3 linked regions of the Coturnix japonica genome follow. The protein of the gene in region 1 purifies or fractionates together with the protein of each later gene. This does not show direct contact. Links are inferred from orthologs where the notes say so. Each region holds a gene or a part of one and is shown in the gene's direction. Other genes may lie near its edges.

Region 1 (4,410 bases):
TCGGGGCTGTCGGTGGAGCTTTCACTCCACTTTCACCTGCTTTCCAGAAACTTCCTTCTGGGTGCAGTTTGGCCAGAGGGACACCGGGCGGTTTGTGGCGCGTTGCCCCTGCTCCTGCCCGGGACGTGGCAGCGATGCTGGGGTCACGGCATCGCCTGTTTGCGGCGCGTCCCTCCGGCAGCAGCGCCGAGGGCGGCTCTCCGAGCTGCGGCCAGAGCGAGGGGCGGGGGGTCCGGGCCGGTCCCATGGAGGGAGCAGCCCTGGCAGGCCCGGAGCCGGTGAGAGCAGCGCCGGCCCATGGGCCCCTCGGCCGGGAACGGCGGAGCCGTGCGCTGCGGCAGTCCTTGGCTGTCCCCTCGGCGCTGACGGGCAGCGCAGAAATAGCAGCTGGCCCAGTTCTCCCGCCCCCGTGGCCCAGATCTCTAAGAACGGAGGTTGTTCGCGCGGCAACAGCGGCAGCGGCATCAGGAGCCGCATTTAGACTGTGAGCTCAAAGAGCGGGAGAGGCTGCCAGCAGGATCCCAGCCTGCACGGGTGACGCTCCTGCTTGGAGACTGCGCTGCGGGCTCTGTTTGTTGCTGTAAACACGCTGCCGCTGCAGCTTCCCTGTTACTATCTATAGCCGCGATCTCTTGGCTCCCGTGCGAGGCGAGGCTGCGGTCTGGCCGCCGGCTCTGCCTGCCCCGAGCCAGGGCTGCCGACATCCCCGCCGTGGGTGGGTGTCTCCGGGCTTCGCCGCGACGGGGATCAAAACAAAACCCAAACTGGAGGAAAGGACGGGCCTCGCCCTCGCCGCTCCCCCCGCGCCCCCCGCCCGTGCCCCCGTCCCGACGCCCGGGGGGCTTCCCCGAGAGCTGCCCTGCCCCGGGCCGCCCCGCACTCCTTCCCGGCCCTCCGTGTGCGTGACCCCGCCGGGGGGACGCGTCCCCGCCGCGCTGAGCACCCTCCCGCCGCGGGGCAAAGGGGACGAAGGGCGCCGCGCCCCTCCGCACCCCACGCGTGTCCGCGGCCGGCTCCCATAGCACGAAGCCCCGCCGGGCCGCTCGGGGCGGGGGCTGCCGGCCGCGGGGGAGCGCCGCGAGGGGGGGTCGGGGCGGCCCCGTCCCACCGCGTCCCGTCCCGTCCCGCGCCGCACTTGGCCGCAGCCTGGAGCGCTTCCCGTCAGTCACGCCCCCTCGCACAGGATGTATCCCATATAAGGATATCTGCGTCAGTGGGTTCCCGAGACCGGCCGTACCACTCCGCGAGGGGGGGGTTATCCCGGAGCGGCTCCTCCCGCCCGTCCCGCCGCGCTCCCCTCGCCCCGCCGCGCCTCCTCCGCCCCGCGGTGCCGTCGTTCCCCGCACTTGGAGGCGGAGCGGGGCGGGCGGCGGGGCCGGGAGAGCGGGGCGAGGCGGACGCGGGCAGAGCGGCCCCCCCCGCGAGCGGGCGTGGTGCGTCCCGCGTGACGTGTGCGATTCACGCGGAGCAGGATATAAAGGGTTGGCGCCGAGCGATACTCCAGCGGCAGAGGCAGCTCCGGCAGCGGAGACAGAGACGCGCGGCGCGGAGCGGATACAGGGACGCAGCCGGCCCCTCTTTGCGTTCTGCCGCGAGGCGCTCCGCTATAGCACCGCAAGGCCCCCGCACGGCCACGCAAACAGCCGACATGATGTACCAGGGCTTCGCCGGGGAGTACGAGGCGCCCTCCTCCCGCTGCAGCAGCGCTTCCCCGGCCGGGGACAGCCTCACCTACTACCCGTCCCCGGCGGACTCCTTTTCCAGCATGGGTTCCCCCGTCAACTCGCAGGTGAGGGGCCGTTGCGCGGCCGCCGCGGGGCTGGGCTCTGGGGGTGCTGGGGGGAGATGGGTGCGGGGGGCGCGCCTCGGGCCGGGTCGGGGCGATGCGGGACCCGAGGGGGGCGGGTGGCTTCAACCGGGCCGGGGACAGAGTGGGGAGCGGCCGCGACGCCGCCGCGGGGCGGGCGGGGGGAGCCGGGGTCCGGGCTGCGCGTTGCGGCGGGTGTGTAAAGCGGCTTCATTGATAAAACGCGAGTTCATTGAGGAGACTCCGGAGCGGCGCCTGCGTCAGCGCGGACGTCAGAGATATTTATATCGGGCCGCTCTCGTGCGGAGCGGCGCTGGCGGCGCGGCCCCGGGGGCGGCGGGGAGCGGCTCGGAGGGGAGTGTCGGCCGCAGCCCCCCGCTCACCGAACCCCCCCCCCACTTTATGTCCCGCAGGATTTCTGCACCGACCTGGCCGTGTCCAGCGCCAACTTTGTACCCACCGTGACGGCCATCTCCACCAGTCCCGACCTGCAGTGGCTGGTGCAGCCCACCCTCATCTCCTCGGTCGCCCCCTCCCAGAACCGCGGGCACCCCTACGGCGTGCCGCCGCCCGCTCCCCCCGCCGCCTATTCCCGCCCCGCCGTGCTGAAGGCGCCGGGCGGCCGCGGGCAAAGCATCGGACGAAGGGGCAAAGTCGAGCAGGTGAGCGGGGCTAAGGGGAAGAGGAGGGGGGTGGAAATGGGGGGCCGGGAGAGGGGCCGGGGCGCGGGGAAAGGCGGGGGGTCTGACGGACGCGCTGACCGCCCTCTGTGTCCGCAGCTGTCCCCGGAGGAGGAGGAAAAGAGGAGGATCCGCCGGGAGAGGAACAAGATGGCAGCGGCCAAGTGCCGCAACCGGCGGCGGGAGCTGACCGACACGCTGCAGGCGGTGAGTGCCGCCCCGGGATCCCGGGGGCTGCGGGGCGGGGACGGGACCCCGCGGGTGGGGGCGGGCGGGTGAGGTTGGCTCCGGCTGACGGCCCGATCTGTGCTTCCGCAGGAGACCGACCAGCTGGAGGAGGAGAAGTCCGCTCTGCAGGCGGAGATCGCCAACCTGCTGAAGGAGAAGGAGAAGCTGGAGTTCATCCTGGCGGCGCACCGGCCCGCCTGCAAGATGCCCGAGGAGCTGCGCTTCTCCGAGGAGCTGGCGGCCGCCACCGCGCTGGACCTGGGCGCACCCAGCCCCGCCGCGGCCGAGGAGACCTTCGCCCTGCCGCTAATGACCGAGGCGCCGCCGGCCGTGCCGCCCAAGGAGCCCAGCGGCAGCGGGCTGGAGCTGAAGGCCGAGCCCTTCGACGAGCTGCTTTTCTCCACGGGGCCGCGGGAGGCCTCCCGCTCCGTGCCTGACATGGACCTGCCCGGAGCCTCCTCCTTCTACGCGTCGGACTGGGAGCCGCTGGGCGCCGGGAGCAGCGGGGAGCTGGAGCCCCTCTGCACCCCCGTGGTGACCTGCACCCCGTGCCCCAGCACCTACACCTCCACCTTCGTCTTCACCTACCCCGAGGCGGACGCCTTCCCCAGCTGTGCTGCCGCACACCGGAAGGGCAGCAGCAGCAACGAGCCGTCGTCTGACTCCCTCAGCTCCCCGACCCTGCTGGCCTTGTGAGGGGCTCGCCCCGCACTGACTGACCTGCCGGGCCCCCTCCCCTGCCCACGCACCCCCACGGACTCACCACGCCCCCCGGGCCTGGGGAGGGCACTGCCGCCGCCACCCCCACCCCATCCATCTGAGGCCCGGGGCCTGATGGAGTGCCTGGGCCCATACCTCCTCCAGAGATGTAGCAAACCGCATGGAGTTTGTCTTGTCCCCAACGGCCCATCTGTGAGAGCTGGTAGTCTGTAGCATGTCCCACATGGCTGGGTTGGTGACTCCCCCCCTCCTTAGTATCACTAGCATTAACTAATTAATCCCTTGGTTTTAAATGATTGGAATTAACCTGGTGCTGGGTATCTCCGACTTGTATCTAGTGCAGCTGATTAACAATAACTACTGTGTTCCTGGCAATATCGTGTTCTTAGCAACGACCCATCTTATGTGGGGGGGGAAAGAGACTCTATTTTATTTTCTAGTAGGTAGATGAATAGCTATATCCATGTACTGTAGTTCTACATCGATGTTCATTGTAACTTTACTGATCATGCGTTGTTGAGGTGGTCTGAATGTTCTGACATAAGTTTTCCATGAAAACGTTTTTATTGTGTTTTTAATTTATTTATTAAGATGGATTCTCAGATATTTATATTTTTATTTTATTTTTTTCTACCTTGAGGTCTTTTTTGACATGTGGAAAGTGAATTTGGATGAAACTTAAGCATTGTTTGCTTATTATTGTTCAGAGACATTGTCAATAAAAGCATTTAAGTTGAGTGCTGGTGCTGTCCTCACTTTACCTTTTGCGCTACTCCCTCTGACCCCAGTGGGGCTCCCTGAACTCTACTTGGGGTTGGGCTTTACCGAAATCTGACTGCCGTAAGCGTAGGGTGCGTTGGGGTGGGAAAACCATTAAGTGCAGATCTGTCATTGCCCTGATGTGTTAGTCAGCCCTGGCTGTGCCTATGCCCTTCCCACCCGCTGGTGGGGCCACCCCTCCCCTGACCTTCCGGC
Region 2 (4,239 bases), on another chromosome or scaffold:
GCCATGCTGGTGTGTATATACACGAGTCCTGCAGGTGGAGGTGCTGGTGGTGCATCTCCCCATTCATATGCTGCAGCCCCACCATGGAGGTCAGCCACTCAGTCAAGGAGCGCACCATCGCCGAGAACAGCCTGGTGATCCTGCTGCAAGGTCTGCACGGCCACGTCACCACCGTGGATCTCCGCGACGAGAGCACGGCCACGGGACGAGTGTCCAACGTCGACGCCTTCATGAACATCCGCCTGGCCCAGGTGACGTTCACGGACAGACGAGGGGAGGTGTCGCAGCTGGACGAGATGTTCGTGGCGGGCAGGAACGTGCGCTACGTGCACATCCCGGATGGGGTGGACATCAGGGCCACCATCGAGCGGCAGCTGCAGGCCATCCACCGCGTGCGCTACTTCGGGGGCCGCGACAAGGGCAGGAGGGAGTTCCCTCGAGCCAAGCACAAATGAGCCCCATTCCTCAATCAACAGCCCAGCTTGGAAGCTCCATCCCTGTGTAATGGCAGCTACTCCTTTATCCCTGTCCTTATGTTTTTCCAGCTCTCAAACAAAGCCCTTTTGGCCTCAGTGCTTGGCTCTGCAGTGATCATTGCCTATAGGCTCTATAGGGCTGCCAGCTACTCCTCCATCCCTCTCTTTATGTATTTCCAGCTCTTAAAGCCCTTTTGGCCACACTGATCATTGCCTACAGGCTCTATAGGGCTGGCAGCTGCTCCTTTATCCCTCTCCTTATGGATTTCCAGCTCTTAAAGCCCTTTTGGCCTCAGTGCTCGTTGCCTATAGGCTCTATAGGGCTGTATCTATAGCTCCTGGGGCCTGGCTGCCTGCATGGGCCTGGTCTGAGGGTGGGCAGTGGGCAGTGCATGGGGTACTGCCATCATGGCGTCCATCTTAAGGCCTAGCACCACGCATGGGGGCGGTGGAGCAGTGCGCATGCGCGGGTGGGAGGGGGCGGGCCTTGAGGTGTTTCTCTTCCAATCAAAGCGCGGATAACATCCCGCCCGCCGACCAACCCGCTCACACAGCATGCACCAATCAACGGAGAGAGTTATCTCTCATCAGCCAATCAATCATCACCACTCAGCCAATTAGTGCTCGCCTCCCATCACTCTATCAACACCCCTCTCGCAGCCAATCACATCCGGGCGCTGCTTCAGCTATCCAATGAGCGCCGCCGTTCCTTCAGAAGGCGGGGCGATGACTTGGGGGCGGGGCCGGGTTGTGCGTCACTTCCGCTGTCAGGTGGCTGAGAGGAGGCCGCGCCGAGCGGCCGCTCCGGCCCCGGGGCCATGGGTGAGTGATGGGCCGGGATGGGCCGGGATGGGGCGGTGTGGGACACTATGAGAGGCCGGAGGGGGAGTAAACAACGGGTCACAGCCCTGGGTTCGGGTCTGTCCCCCTTTGGCTGCGTGTGGGGGTCTATTATCCAGCAGCAAAGCGGCCCTTAGTGCTGCCCGGCTTGTGGTGGGGCTGTGTAGGCCCAGTGTGAGGCCTATACAGCAGCATTAAAGCCCTTAGAGCTCGTTAATGCTTCGAGGAAGGGCTGCAATAATCCTCGGGGCATTAAGTGTTATCCCCTCCTGTATCCACACAGAGCTCTGTCCTATAGGCCCTTACTGAAGAGGAGGGTCACAAAGGTGATCAGGGGGCTGGAGCAGCTCCACTGTGAGGACAGGCTGAGGGAGCTGGGTTTGTTCAGCCTGGAGAAGAGAAGGTTGCAGGGTGACCTCATTGCAGCCTTTCAATACCTGAAGGGAACTTACTCCCAGGAGGGGAGTAAACTCTTGGAAAGGGCTGACAATAGCAGGACACGGGGAAATGGTTTGAAGTTAAAAGAGGGAAGATTTAGGTTGGATGTTAGGGGGAAGTTCTTCATTAGGAGAGTGGTGAGGCCCTGGAACAGGCTGCACAGGGAGGTTGTGGATGCCCCGTCCTTGGAGGTGTTCAAGGCCAGGTTGGACTTGGCCATGGGCAACCTGATCTATGGGGTCTCTATGGGGTCTCTGTGGGGATCTATGGGGTCTCCTGGGCAACCTGATCTAATAAATGTGTATGTTTGGTGGCCCTGCTAGGCAGGGGGGTTTGAACTACATGATCCTTGAGGTCCCTTCCAACCCGGGTCATTCTGTGATTCTGTGAAGGGTTCACAGCCCCTGCTGGGCTCAGCCTGTATTTAGAGCTCAATGCTGCTCTATGTCCCTGCACTGCTCTCATTGAGCCTCAAACTGTGCTGGTGTCTATTTCAATGCGAAATAACCCTGTTTGCTTACCAACGCGTGCTTCTTTCTTGTACCCGATACCATCTATCAACGTGCTTTCGTGCTGCAGACAATAGTAACGTTGGCGTGGCGGTAGGATTTACCCATATGGGTGACGTCTATGTTTCTCTCTATCTCATCCCGGGTTGATGAGTGGGGCATTGTGAGCAGCAGCCACACCTGGCTGTAAAAGTGTCAGCACGTGTGAGTCACACGCTGATGTGTGTGTATATGTGTGTATATATCTGTGTGTGAGGAAAGCCCTGCTGTGCTGTCGCTCTGCCCATAGCAACTGTAAACCAAAATAACCCCCTACAGCAACACGCCTCCCCCCCCTGCATCAGGATATGGGGCTGCACAGGGACGTGGCTGTGCTGCTGTGAAGCTGGAGCTGGTGTTTGTGTAACCCAGCAGGGAACTCCCAGCGATGAGTCCTTGGCGAGCCCTTGTGTTGATGCATCAGAAGGGTTTGGAGCAGCCCAGCCTGCTGCCAGCTCGTGGTCACGGCACTGGAATCTTGTGCTATGGAGCTCCCTGCTGGGGGCTGGGAAGGGATTTCCTCTCCTCCAGTGGGTTCTGCCCATGGAAGTGGTGTGTTCCCAGCACTGCCTGTGCTCGAGGCTCTGAGTGCTGTGAGCCCAGCTCTGTGCCTCCCTCCGAGCTCACTTGGTGCAAGGGGAAGGAGCTCACTGAGCTCCGTGTTTCCAAGAAATCAGTGACTCAGGGCTGCTGTGTGCTCTGTTGAAGGCAGCTCTTCCCAGAGAGGCTCGTGGGTTTGGTTGTACTGTCGCTTCTGAGTCATCCAGTGGACTTTTTCTTTGATTATTTGTGTTTCTGTTGCAGAACTGCTGAACTTCCTTAACTTTTGGTGTTCTTTCCGGCTCTCTACCAAACGTTGCAGTGTTGGGCTCCCAATAAACCCAAAGCTGTCCAGCAGACACCGCTGGGCTCTTATCTGCCACTGCCCCAGCACTGTCCTGTCTCCTCTCTGTCACCCCATTTCCTTCCTTGCAGAGACCAGCTCCTCGCTAGGACAGCACTGTGGCCTTTGGCATTCACCTCATAAGCCCAGACAAACCCTCTTTGTGCCCCTGTGATATAAAGCAGCAGAAAGCACCGCTGGGTTTGTGTCAGCTCTTCCAGTTCCTTCACTAGTTTCTGTGGTGCTGAGTAATCCTGCTCACACCCCAAAGGTGCTGTTTTTTCAGCTCCTGCTATTAATGCTATTATGAAGGCAGCTGGACTGCAGGACCTGCCCGTTCCTCACCCTGATGCACAGTGCAGCCTCCTCCACTTGCTTTCCTTTGTTGCTGTGCTGGGCACTGGGACGTTGCGTGGCAGTTCAGGAATTAGACAATTTCCTTAAGCTACCTAATTAAAAGACATTAGATCTGGGCCTCCACAGTTATTTGATTAACGGTTCTATTAAAGTCATGATGCAGTAGGAAGCTCTACAATTCTCCACTAAGGTTTGGATGCAGTGCTTGCACTATACCAGAACTCAGAGATGAATTCCTATGTTAGACTTGCAGCCTCATTGTCTGAACCCTATGGTGTCACAGATGGAGCGGGGGTGGCAGAGCTCAGTGTGAGCAGTTCCTGCACTGAAGGGGGTGGGGAACCACTGTGTGAGCATCCATGGACCTGCTGGGATACACTGTGTTGAGATGGATTGTACTGATGTTGAAATGGGGTTCCCTTTGCAGTGGGAAGAGCTGGGAAAGGGCACAGTGCTGCTCATCTCCGTGTTGGGATTGCTCCATCACAGCAGGATTGGTTCCTGTGCTGCCTGCTTGCTGTGTACCCATCACAAAGCACATCACCTTGCTGTGCTTTGAGCTGTGGGGCGATGGGCAGCTGGGTCCTGGTGTGCTGCTCCTTGACTTGAGGTGTCTCCACTCACAGCCTGCAGCAATCCCAAACCCAGACTTCTATGGAGCTGCTGTTTGTGTCTGAGCAGCACCAGCTTTGTGTTG
Region 3 (3,800 bases), on another chromosome or scaffold:
TTACAGCTAATTCTCATGACATCACTGTTGAGTCATTTCTTTTAATTGTGCATAGCTATTGGCTGAAAAAATAGAAGAAAAAACTGATCTTGATGTCACATAGACATAACTTATGTTAAAAATAGTTTGGGGTCAGCTTGAACTGGCCAGGAGGTTCAATGCTTGTCAGTGGTGCTTTGGCTTTGAGTGGTTTACAACTGTTGAAAGCTTCAGGGGTGAACACGTACCTGGTCTCCCGTTGGAGCAAACTGCAGTATTACTCAGAGTTCAAAGAACTGTTGATTGCCCTTTTGATCTTTATGCTGCCTAGTTGCTGTTGCATTTTTCTGTCCTTTTCTATTTTACAAACATAAAAGATTACACTTGTTTGAATGGCTGCTTCAAATTAATAACACTTCATAAAAAATACGACTTTTTTTTTTCCAGTCCCATCTGCTTTGATATGATTGAAGAAGCCTACATGACAAAGTGTGGACACAGCTTCTGGTAAGATCTTTGTATTGCACAGATCATCCATCCTGTATGGTGCTTGAGACCTAACATTGCTGTGGACCACTTTCCTTGTGAGTTATTACTTCTGTTTTCTGGCCTTGCACTGAAGACATTGAAATCAAGTTTAAAAGGTGGTTGCTACCAGTTAGATTAACATAAAGAAGTCTAAGTATTTAAGATGAAGCTTTGTGCTGCCATATTTCTCCGTAGAGGGGAAAAAAATGAGAAGTTTTAAACTGCTGTTAGCACTCCAGGGTCAGGGCTGCGTCTGCAGGAGGGCTTTTTCTATTGCCATCTGAAGCAGTGGGTGTTGCTGTTATAAAGGTCATGAGAGCCAGTGTTGGTGTTGGCAGGTCCTCTGCTTTTGTGCAAGACCGTATGCAATTGGCCTCCACGTTATCTATTGCAATTCCATTAAACTTAAGACAGAGGGTGTGCTTCAGGCTTGCTTCTTTATTACCTCCTTTATATTTTTCTCTTTGCAAACTGTTTACTAGGAAACTACTATATCGAATTGGCTTGAGGTTCATGTATTTTTCAGTATGGTATCTCTGGCTTTCACAAGGAGCAAATCTTCTGTGGAGAAGGACACGAACCCTCCAGGTGCAGGTGTGAAGTTACCTGCTTCCCTGGTTTCAGAGAGGGGTTGGAATAAGTGTTGACCCATGAGGTTTTAATGTCTGGTGTGTGCTGCCCTCTTACAGCACCTGTTAAATAGGAAAATCATTTCCTACCTTTTACAAGTGGTAGTGTTTTAGGAGCATAAAACAATTACCTCGAGCAGCAGATTCAGTTAACTTTCAGGATAAGTTTTGTCTTGCATACAGGTAAGGTAACATTTGATACAAAGCACAAAACATAATGCTTCATTATAGATCACTGGGATTTCTTTATTCTAAGAAGTCCAAGATGAAAGGCGTAATTATTTAGGTAGAACAGAGCAATGATGTGTCATTGGATGTTTGTTTCAATTGACTTAAAGCTGGGTAGGGAGTGAGGTTCTTTAGCTCCATGCTGAAGTGCATCTTGTTAGTCCATCCCTCAAATAGCCAACAAGTTTATCACAGCACCTTTGGAGTGCCTTGTATTAAGAACAGCTACTGGGAGATGGGGTGAAAAATGTGAGACTCTTCTAAAGGTCTGAATGTGCAGTAGTTTTCAGTGTACTTGCAAAGTATTTGGCTGATGTAGAAAGGTGCTTCTGAATAATGCTGTCCATCTGCCTGCTCTACCTGTGGAAAAGGAGCATGAATTTAAGATGTGTGACTGAATTAGCCACATTGTCACAATCCTTACTGAAATAAAAGAGCCAAGTACTTAAAACACAGTTTTGTAATCCTTGCTAAGAACTTCAGTTTTTGCTGTAGCATGCCCTTAGTCAGTATTGGAGTGCTTTGACTCTACTGTAGCATCTTGGCAATGCAGCCATTAACTAGGCATCTAAATGAAGTACATGTTACCTAAGGTTTATATTCTTTCCTTTGTGCATATGTACCTTTTTCTTTTCTCTTTATTTATTTTTACTTAATTGTTTTTCTTTTAATAGCTACAAATGTATTCACCAGAGCTTGGAGGACAACAACAGATGCCCCAAATGTAATTATGTTGTGGACAACATAGATCATCTTTATCCTAACTTCTTAGGTGAGCCCTGGGTTTGTTTGTGTAAGTAATGTCTTGGTTGTGATGGGAGACATGTGCTTGTAAATTCATCCTATAAATAACCTGCTTGCAGAGATTGAAAATGAAGTCCAAGCATCATCCCTTTGGTCAGCTGTGTTTTAAAATAAATAAATACACGTGCTTAGTAGTTTAAATTGTTAATACTCCGCTGCCTCTAGCAGTTCTGTATGCTGAGTTATGGCAGCAAGACTCTGGCTTGCTTTTTATAGCATGTAGACAGCAGCGAAATGTTTTATGGCGACTAGAGATTTCAATCTCTGTAATTACTTCTGATTTCTTGTGCTGCCATTTGTTTAATAACCAAGAACTTAACGCTGTTTCTGAAGTACAGATGCTGATGTGGGAAGACTGAATTGTATATGGTGCTACTTTGACTGCCAATGTGGCTCATGTGATGCGTTTTAGTGTCTAAATTACATACAGAAAATCTTTTTGTGTGTACACAGTGCTTATTATTTGCTGCATAAACAAAGAATGGAAATAGTTAAATACTGTGTTACAGGGAAAAAAGATCAAAGTGAAACATGTTGGAGTATGAAATATCAAAATTGAACAAAATCTTGATTTCATAACTGGGATACCCATTTAATAATAGCCTCAGAGCCACAATAGCCAACAAATGTTTCAGAAACTGGCACGTTTGCTGGTTTTTTAATGTATCTTTATACTCTTCACAAAAATATGTCCAGATAGTAAATTGGTAGGAGAAAAATGTCAGCAACTTCATACTGTTTTAGATGCAAGTTAACTTTGTGTAATTGCAAATAAAGATTGGGATGGATTTTTCTCATTTTATTTGAGCTTTTAAATCTCTCTTCTGATATCTGGTTGTTTTTTGTTTGTTTGTTTTCAGTCAATGAACTTATTCTTAAACAAAAACAAAGATCTGAGGAGAAAAGATTCAAACTGGACCATTCAGTGAGTAGCACCGTATGTTCAAACTTTCTTACTTTATATTTATTTAAAGATTCTGTACAACATTAGTCATTATGTGGCTTGGTTTATAGGAGATTATATTGTCAAGCTGGTGTTTTAATATGCTTTATGGGGAAATAACACTAATGTTAGTGGCAGTGCATCTCCACAGCCTTGTTGACTCTAGTTCTTCCTGCCAGCATTTGTACAGGTAGAAGCAAGTTGCTAATTACTTAGCATAACTAAATGTCATGCGATGTACTGAATATAACCTGAGAAAGTACCCGTGGAAGCACGCTTATTTAAAGGTAATCATCTTTATTCAGTGTTGGAAATTACAGCTGTATTAAGACTAATAGTAGTACAGGCTTGTCTGATCATGTGCGAGAAGTTAAGTTCTACAGAGAAACTGAAGGATAATACTAACCACAAGAGGGAGAAAGATGTGTTTGGAGTACTGCTGTCCTGGCTCTGATCCCAGATGCGACTGCCTGGTTCTCTTCTAGACTTCGTTCATGTTGTGGTAGCAGAGTGCAATTTAGGCTGAGCTGTGTTCTCTGGAGGAAATCCCTGTGCTGTAGCAGTGGATGCTTTTGTATGTTTAAGATCAGAACAGTATATGATATTAATCAGGAAACTTGCATATTTGTCTTAGTACTTCTTGTTTCCTTCCTGGGCTTCCGTAACTCATAAATAAGGATGCAAAGTAA

The links.
Region 2: the proteins of FOS (region 1) and STK40 purify together in Homo sapiens (affinity purification with mass spectrometry; 3 studies listed by BioGRID and IntAct, counting the BioPlex papers as one, with this or other methods). This does not show direct contact. The link is inferred for Coturnix japonica from reciprocal best matches to the Homo sapiens genes FOS and STK40.
Region 3: the proteins of FOS (region 1) and COP1 purify together in Homo sapiens (affinity purification with mass spectrometry; 4 studies listed by BioGRID and IntAct, counting the BioPlex papers as one, with this or other methods). This does not show direct contact. The link is inferred for Coturnix japonica from reciprocal best matches to the Homo sapiens genes FOS and COP1.

The regions. Positions count from the first base shown.
Region 1 is NC_029520.1:34,667,038-34,671,447, forward strand, and holds FOS (proto-oncogene c-Fos), read left to right. Parts: upstream 1-1,487; 5' UTR 1,488-1,648; coding exon 1,649-1,789; intron 1,790-2,220; coding exon 2,221-2,469; intron 2,470-2,586; coding exon 2,587-2,694; intron 2,695-2,805; coding exon 2,806-3,411; 3' UTR 3,412-4,172; downstream 4,173-4,410. UniProt on the Homo sapiens protein: Nuclear phosphoprotein which forms a tight but non-covalently linked complex with the JUN/AP-1 transcription factor. In the heterodimer, FOS and JUN/AP-1 basic regions each seems to interact with symmetrical DNA half sites.
Region 2 is NC_029538.1:3,592,541-3,596,779, forward strand, and holds the start of STK40 (serine/threonine-protein kinase 40), read left to right. Parts: upstream 1-1,203; 5' UTR 1,204-1,298; intron 1,299-4,239. Other genes in the region: U7 snRNA-associated Sm-like protein LSm10, read left to right, coding at 84-455. UniProt on the Homo sapiens protein: May be a negative regulator of NF-kappa-B and p53-mediated gene transcription.
Region 3 is NC_029523.1:4,953,512-4,957,311, reverse strand, and holds part of COP1 (E3 ubiquitin-protein ligase COP1), read left to right. Parts: intron 1-426; coding exon 427-486; intron 487-2,038; coding exon 2,039-2,136; intron 2,137-3,028; coding exon 3,029-3,105; intron 3,106-3,800. UniProt on the Homo sapiens protein: E3 ubiquitin-protein ligase that mediates ubiquitination and subsequent proteasomal degradation of target proteins.